2 linked regions of the Canis lupus familiaris genome follow. The protein of the gene in region 2 interacts with the protein of the main gene of each other region in a pairwise test. Links are inferred from orthologs where the notes say so. Each region holds a gene or a part of one and is shown on either strand. Other genes may lie near its edges.

Region 1 (4,199 bases), on a different chromosome or scaffold from region 2:
GGGGTTTCCCTCTTTCTAGAGCCACTTAAATAGAGAGGGCAATGAGCAGAGAGCTCTGAGAGGCACTGGGCCTATGCTCCAATTATAGCTGTTTATTTGCTGTGTGACCTGAGTCAGGTCACTGAACTTCTCTGAGCCTCAGTGTTCCCAGCAGCGTAAGCGGATTGTGCGGGGGAATATCCAGGAGATAATTTGCTAACCAAGTCCTTCCCCCTTCCTAGCTATCAAATCTGTTGCAATCAGAGGTGCCTGGGTAGTTCAGTTGGTTTAGCATCTGTCTTTGCTTCATGATTTTGGGGTCTTGGTATCCAGCCTGGAGTTGGGCTCTTTGCTCAGCAGGTAGTCTGCTTCTACCTCTCTCCCTACTTCTCCCCCTTCCTCTGCTCCTGCTCTCTCTCTGTCTCATTCATAAATAAATAAATAAATAAATAAATAAATAAATAAATAAATAAATAAATAAAATCTAAAAAAAAAAAATATGTTGCGGGATCCCTGGGTGGTGCAGCGGTTTGGCGCCTGCCTTTGGCCCAGGGCGCGATCCTGGTGACCCGGGATCGAATCCCACGTCGGGCTCCCGGTGCATGGAGCCTGCTTCTCCCTCTGCCTGTGTCTCTGCCTCTCTCTCCCTGTGTGTGTGACTATCATAAATAAATAAAAAAATAAAAAAAATCTGTTGCAATCATAGAGATCTCTATTGTTGAGGTGAGAAGGAGGTGGATGTGGGCACGAGGAGGAGGGGTAGGGAGGTTGGTTCAATGTCCAATTTCCCCCATTTCCTGCTTTCCCCTGGAGACCTGGTTGACCTTTTCTGAGTATTCCCCATTCCCTCCTTCCCCGGGGGCATTGGGCGAGCAACAACTTTGCATCCGTTTAGTCCTGAGGTCCTTAATTTCTTCATCTGTGAAAGAAGGGGGATCGAATCCGGTTCTGGTCTCCAAGATGCTTTGTTGGCGTGTCTGGGTGCTTGGGAAGAGGCGGTCTAGTGAGGGGTCTGTGGGAAGACTGGCGGTATAGTGGGCTTTTCTGGAAATCGCCGAGCGAGGCACATCCTTTATGCTTTTATTTATGGAGTGTTATCTATGAATGTCACCCCTCGTGATCTTCTCGGGGCCAGAAGAAGGGCTCATCCTAAGAATGCCATCCCTTCGTGGGGAGTGCCAACTCCCAACCCAGCGAAAACAACCCCGGTCTGTGGCTCAGTTAGTGGGGAAACATGTCAAGCACAGGGACCCAGGCGCGGGGCGCGGGGCGCCGGGCGCGGGGCGCGGGGCGGGGAGGGAAGCGCCCCCCTGCAGCCCGCGGTGTAGGCGTCTGACTTCGGAGGTCTCCAGCCGCCGGCGAGTTGCGAGCTGCGGCGGCGGACGGCGGCAGAAGGGGCGGTGCCAGGCCTGGGGGCGGGGCGGCCGGTCCCTATATAAGGCGGCACCGGGCGGTGCCAGCTCGCGAGCTGCTGCGGGAGACGGTGGCTTGGAGAGCGGAGGCGGGCGCGGATTCGCGGAGCCGGAGACCCTCGGAGGAGGTGAGGGCGTTGTGGCCGGCGAGGGGGCCTGGGCCGGCGGCTCGGAGCCCGGCCGAGGTGTCCGCCTCGTGTGTGTGTGTTAGTGTCCCAGCGGGTGAGTGTGTGCGTGCGCGTGCCGTCTTCACAGGTGAATGACGTGCGTGGGTCGGCGCGTGGGGCTGGGCTCGGCTCCCACGGGTGTCTCCGGAAGGTGCGCTTGTGCCGGAGGTCGGGCTGTGTCGGAAGCCCGGGGCGGCGGGAGCGCAGCAGAGCGGGGGATCCCCTGCCGCGCCCCCCGCCCTGGAGCCAGGGGAGGCGTGGACTCGCGCGCCCCAGGCCCCCGGCGGCGCGCGGAGGGAGCCCCCGGGCGCGGAGCCCCCGGAGGGGCGGGGAACGCCGAGCCCGGCAGGTTCACCGCCCTCCGCTCCCGGCGGCTGCGATCCAATCCGCGCCGTCTCCGCCCAGACCCCTGCGGCCGGGGTCCCCGACGCCTCCGCGTCCGCCACCGGCTGGGCGCTGAGGTCAGCGCGGGCGGCGTACCCCCCCCGGTCCTTGGGAACGTGTTGGGACACATCCTTTCAGGGCAATCGAGGAGGTGACTCACGGTGACAAGGAGACCCCGGGAAATGGGACGGGTGCGGTCAGAGCCCCGCCCGGGCTGGGGGACAGTGGCGCCCCAGAAGTCGGCTTCCTCCCCGCCCCGGGTGTCTGTGCCCCGATCGGCACAGTGACTGTTTGGCTGGCACAAAGTGTTCTCAGGGAAGCCGGGACATCGGGAGGTCCAGGACTGGGTGTCCGGTCCCCGCCTCGCAGCGCGCCCTCGGGGACCCGGAGCGGTGGCCCTGCGCGGGCTGGGCTCGCTCCAGCCGGCCCGTGGGAGAAGAACAGGGGTCGGACACACCTGTCCTCCTTCGCGCCCCGCCTGCCCTGGGGTCGGGGCGCCGCATTCCGCAGCGGGAGGGGAGACCTGCGCCGCGGGGCCGCGGGGCGTGCAGCCCACGCGCGGGGCGAGGGACCCGGAGAGGTCCCATCTGGAGGCTGGTCCCACCCTGACGGCCACATCCGGGGGCTCCCGGCGCCCCTCGCCAAACTGCCCTGTCCGAGGGCGACTGCTCAGCGCGCAGCGAGAGGACGAGCCGTCCTTTGGGCGCCGCCGCCCAGCGCGGGCCACCGTGCACCCCCCCCCCCGTCGGGGGCCCTCGGGGGACACGGGCGCCCGCCTCTTGCGGAAAAGAATCTTGGAATTGGGTTTGGCGCTTTGGGGTGCCCGGGCGGCTCCCTCCCTGCCCCCCCTTCCCTGCCTCCACGTCGCGGTTCGAGGACTGTCGAGCGGTTCTGTTTTCCTTGCTTTCGTCTATTTTTATTTTCCAGGGATCTGACTCATCCCGTGCTTTGGGCGTGGAGATAAGGTGGAGGGACCAAACCTCTGCGCGCCTCTGCGTGCGGAGTGTGTGTGTGTGTGTGTGTGTGTGTGTCACGGAGGCGCGCGCGTTTTTCCAACAGTGGCGGGGCTTTCGGAAGCCTGGCTGGCTCAGCGTGACGTGTTCGCGGCCCCCGGTCCGCCCCCCGGTCCGCCCCCCGCCTCCCCTCCCCACCCGAGGGTGACGCTGCAGCCCGAGCGCACGCAGAGTTGTGGCGGGCGGGGAGCGCTCCGCAGGAAACTGACTCATCGCTGCTCGCGGCGGCGGCTCGCGGCTCTGCCCACACGCCGACCCTGCGCGTGATTTCCTGGAGACCGGCGCCCCCGTCCGGCCCCGAAGCGAGTAGCAAGCCCGCCTTCCCTTCCCGCCTCGCTGCGCCGCGGCTGAGCCTGAGCCGCAGCTGCGAACGCCCCTGAAAAAGCATGACCCGTTGGCTCATCGCGGGGTGCTCAGTGCTTACTGGTTACTTCGGAATTAAAACTGGCTGAAGTCTAAGACACGAAGGCCAACCAAGGATGCTATTCTCGGTTGTTTGTGAAATAAGGGTTTATATTTGACTTTTCTCTGAACTGGGAGTTACGATAATGGGAATGAGATCAGATTTTGATGAGGAGCCTATGAGGGCCATAGGGTGGTAGGAGAGAGGATCCTTGCCTGGATTCTGGTCCCATCTTGAGCGCCTAGAAGCCTGGGAATACTCAGCCTCCTGGTGAAAAGCCAAGGCAGGCTCCTCCTCCTTGTGCCAGTGAGGCCATCCTGTGTATCCTCTCTTGAAAGGCACCCCAAGAGTGCCCATATGGGGAACTGCCAAACACCTGCTTAAATCCCCTTTATTTTATTATTTTTTAAGATTATTTATTTATTTATTCATGAGAGACACACAGAGGAGGCAGAGACACAGGCAGAGGGAGAAGCAGGCTCCCTGCGGGAAACCGGCTGTGGGACTCTACCCTTGAACTCCGGCATCAGGCCCTGCACCGAAGGCAGATGCTCAACTGCTGAGCCAACCAGGGGCTTAAATCCCCTTTAGTTTGAGTTATTCTGGGAAGAGAGGGACCTATCAACCTGTATTTTTTAAAAAGCTCCCTAAGTGATTCTGCTGGGCCTCTGGTTAGGAACACAAAACTAGAGAGGGAGTAAGGATGAACACCAGAGCACGGAACCCAGGATAAACAGGCCTGGGTTCAAATCCTGGCTGTGCCACTTGTGAGCCATGTGACCTCGGGCAAGTTACTTTACTTCTCTGAGGTCTTAGTTACTTCTTCTGTTAAAAAAAAAAA
Region 2 (3,500 bases):
GACAGCTAACTTGGATGGACTGGCTACATTGTATCTGAAGGGGGCAAGCAGTTTCTCCAGCATAAGATGAGAAACTGGTTTGCAGTCTGGAAAGGCAACGGAAGAGACTCAGTGGCACCTCAGTAGTGACCTCTGTCCATCTGAAACTAGTAAGGGGTGATAAGGCCAGAGACCCATGGGGCAACCCGCCAATCAGAGCAGGTCTATAAATATCTGAAAGAGGTTACAATGCCTGGGGGTCAGACTCTTGTCACTGACATTTTTGTCTCTGGGGGTCGAGCAAGAGCTTGTCTTAAGCTGGTTGGGAGTCCTTTTTGTAAGGCAGCCTTAATAGGAGATGTTCAGAAAAGGAAGAAAGCTTATCATTTCTATAAATATTAAGTTCTGTCCCAAGATTTGCCTCTGGAGGATTAGAAAAGCATTCTTCACGTGAAGCACACTGGAGGGGTCTCTTCAATTTGTGTTTTAGATACCAGGTGGTATCGTACGAGCCCTTTTTTTTTTTTTTTAAAGCCCATGTTTAGGACCTAGAATTTTAGAAGCATATTTAAGAACCCTGCGTTTGGTTCCACGAGGCCCTTCAATACTTCCGTGCACTACTTCCTCAAGACAGTAATAAAGACCAAGGCAAACTGCAGGTGGGAAGGTGAGAGAGCCAGCAAGCTGTGGTCCTCACTCTGAGTTGTCAACCTTCTGCTCAGCATCCCGGATGGGGCATCAGCCACAGGCCCGTAAGCCACGCTATCTCCTAACTCAATATATTCCCATAGCAGGGCATTCAGGAGCTACCTGGAACATCCAGAGGGGCGCTTCGTGATGTTCCCCTGCACCTTGATTCTCTCCGTGGTGCCACATGAGGGCCTCCCTGCTGACAAGCCTCTCCAACTGCCTTTAAAAAGCAGAGGACTTTCTTGAACAAAAAGCTTCAGAAGCTATAACAAGGGTGGAGTACAACGTTCCGAGACGGGGAGTCGGAGCTTCCAGGTTCTGTCCCAGCTCTACTACTGCCCCCACCCTACCCCTGTGCCCCAGTCCTCTGCACCTCTCATGGAAAGTCTCTACCCGCCCCTCTGGCCTCTCACAGCCACCCTAGCTTAGACCTTTAAAGGACTGCAGTCTCCTACCAACAGAATCAGAGCCTCACTTGACCCTGGTCTCTCAAGACCTTTCTTCTAAGGAGCTTCAAATTCTGGCAAGCAGAACTACATCCTCTGGGCAGTCCACGGGGCACAGGGGTGGAAAAATCTATAGCTAATAATAGTTCCTTAAATTATGATGGTTCTTTATTCTTGTACAAGTACTTTTTAATCCATTACCACATTAAACAAAAGGGGAAGTGAGAGGCGGGTGGGGCTGAGAGGTGTGTCAAGGCCAGACACGGTCTAGAGGTGGGGCACCTCTTGGATCCCCACCGCCCCCGCCCCCAGGGCAGCAGCCGGCTCTAGTCCCTTCTCCACTGTGTCTCCGCCCGAGTGGGTGTAAGCAGAGCACGACACTGTGGGGGAGAGGCAGCCTGAGGACATGTACATAAATGGACATGAAACAACAATTCAGACTCATGGGGAAGCCCACACCACGAAGGAAAATTAGTAAACAGCCCTCCTCCCACCTTGTGTCTGCTTGCTAGGTTCTCTTCTCTATTTTCTGGCACGGAGGCTTTCAAACCCTTACAAGGAAGCCTCACCTACTGAATTTCGTACTACCTTGGATGTTGATCTTGGAAAATAGAAGCCACCACCACCAAAAACGAAAAAATATACCTCCCAACACATCATCATCCAGCCGACTGTCTCTTCCTGAACTGAGAAAAGAGACATCTGGTTTTAACCAAGAAGATGGCGTCCACCTACCACATCCGTGTTGGTGATCTTGGCCAGCAGATCCACCAGGGCATCGCCGGTGAGGGAGCTCACGTCCTCATCCTGCTGCAGCCCACAGATGGCGGCTCCCACGCTTCCAGTTGCAATCATCGATGGCGGATACATGGCGAACTTAAAGTCTGCGAGAATGAGAGGCAGAAGGTCAAGGCACAGGAAGAATTTGGATCTGGGGGCTCCCCGGCCTGAAGATCCTCAGAAATAGGATGGTGAAAGGTCAGCTGCACAGGTGACTCCTCACCCTACAGACACATCCTCTCCTGAGTCTCCCTTCACAAGATATCCTTTATTTATTTACCATTACTGTGGCAGGTCCAGAGCTCCAATGGAGAGACTGAGGCAGGGAAGGTGGACAGCTTATCTGAATACACAGAGTAATTTTCAGAGAGGGGACTCGTCCCCAACCCCTCACCTCCATGAGCCTGTCTGGGGTTGGCACGTGTAAGGGGCAGGAAGGTAAGAAATGCAGTGTCCTCTGCAGTCACAGTGAGCAGAGCTGGGAGGGCTGAGGTGAGACCAGACAAGGTAACCTAGGTGCCGTACAAGTGAGACAGACCAAGGGATCTAGATGGTGGAAGGTGGGGAAAGTATAAGCAGGTAAAATGATATGAAGAATGATAATCCTGATGTAATATTGCCCCTATTATTTGTGGACAGTCAACAGACAGATGGCCCAAAACAAAAGATGATTTTATTTCATTTTTTTAAAAAAGGGGGTGGGGGAGAGAAGCAGTAATGGATGGAGGGCATGAGGGCCAAGTTTCACACAATTCCCAACTTCTAGCCCAAGACCCTCAGAACATAAGGAGAGAAGGCAAGCACCCAGTATTAGCCACTGCACCCTAACCACATGGATGGCTTTGTTTAGGTTGTATGGCTCTTGGGCCCAAAGGTCCCATTTTCTTGCTGGGGGAAAAAAAAGAGCAGTTTGCTAAGAGAAGTACAAAGTGAGAATAAGTTGAAGGAGCTCAAACCCCCATCCACTTTCTTTTCTCCAAAAGCAAACAGAGGGTATGTTCCTATGTTCCTGTGCGCCGGTGAGGGCTCAGCGTGGGAGACCAAACACCTCAGTTTCCTGAATGTTCCCGCAAAGAGGCTGGGTGACCAAGATCACCTACTGCCCAGTTATCAGGAAGAGATAAGGGCACCCACACCTGACTCCTGCTGCTGTTCCTAATGCCCGCTGATGCCCCACATATACAGTCCTATCGGTGTAACATGCCAGTTCACCCACACTCCCACCAGAGAAGGAGCTCGCATGGTGGATGAGGAAGGGCAGACCCCTGAGCTGACACACTGCCCTTACCTGTGCCTTGTTCTGATATGCTAGAGAGGTTACTGTCACTCCCTTTAGTCAGTCCTGGAGTGGAGCAAATCCTCCAGTGCGTCACCTCTGGTTCTAGCACTCCTGCAGTTGCCCGTATAGAGCTGGGCAAGGGCGGAGGTGGGTGGGGATAGTGAGAGGGAGGTACAGAGGGAGGACCTGGGTCACACTTCAAATTCTAGCAGGCACATCAGGTTGAAACTATAAAAACAGATGAACCTAATGCCTTCCCTTCCTCCTGTCCACTTCCCTATTAAGCAACATATCCCATTAAAGCCCTTTTATAGATGACCCCACTG

What was found. The genes of interacting proteins can lie anywhere in the genome.
Region 1: the proteins of CCND2 (region 2) and CDKN1A interact in binary tests that used the Homo sapiens proteins (3 or more experiments, as listed by UniProt). The link is inferred for Canis lupus familiaris from reciprocal best matches to the Homo sapiens genes CCND2 and CDKN1A.

The regions. Positions count from the first base shown.
Region 1 is NC_049233.1:5,926,830-5,931,028, forward strand, and holds the start of CDKN1A (cyclin-dependent kinase inhibitor 1), read left to right. Parts: upstream 1-1,399; 5' UTR 1,400-1,519; intron 1,520-4,199. UniProt on the Homo sapiens protein: Plays an important role in controlling cell cycle progression and DNA damage-induced G2 arrest. Involved in p53/TP53 mediated inhibition of cellular proliferation in response to DNA damage.
Region 2 is NC_049248.1:5,513,135-5,516,634, reverse strand, and holds part of CCND2 (G1/S-specific cyclin-D2), read right to left. Parts: intron 2,000-3,500; coding exon 1,851-1,999; intron 1-1,850. UniProt on the Homo sapiens protein: Regulatory component of the cyclin D2-CDK4 (DC) complex that phosphorylates and inhibits members of the retinoblastoma (RB) protein family including RB1 and regulates the cell-cycle during G(1)/S transition.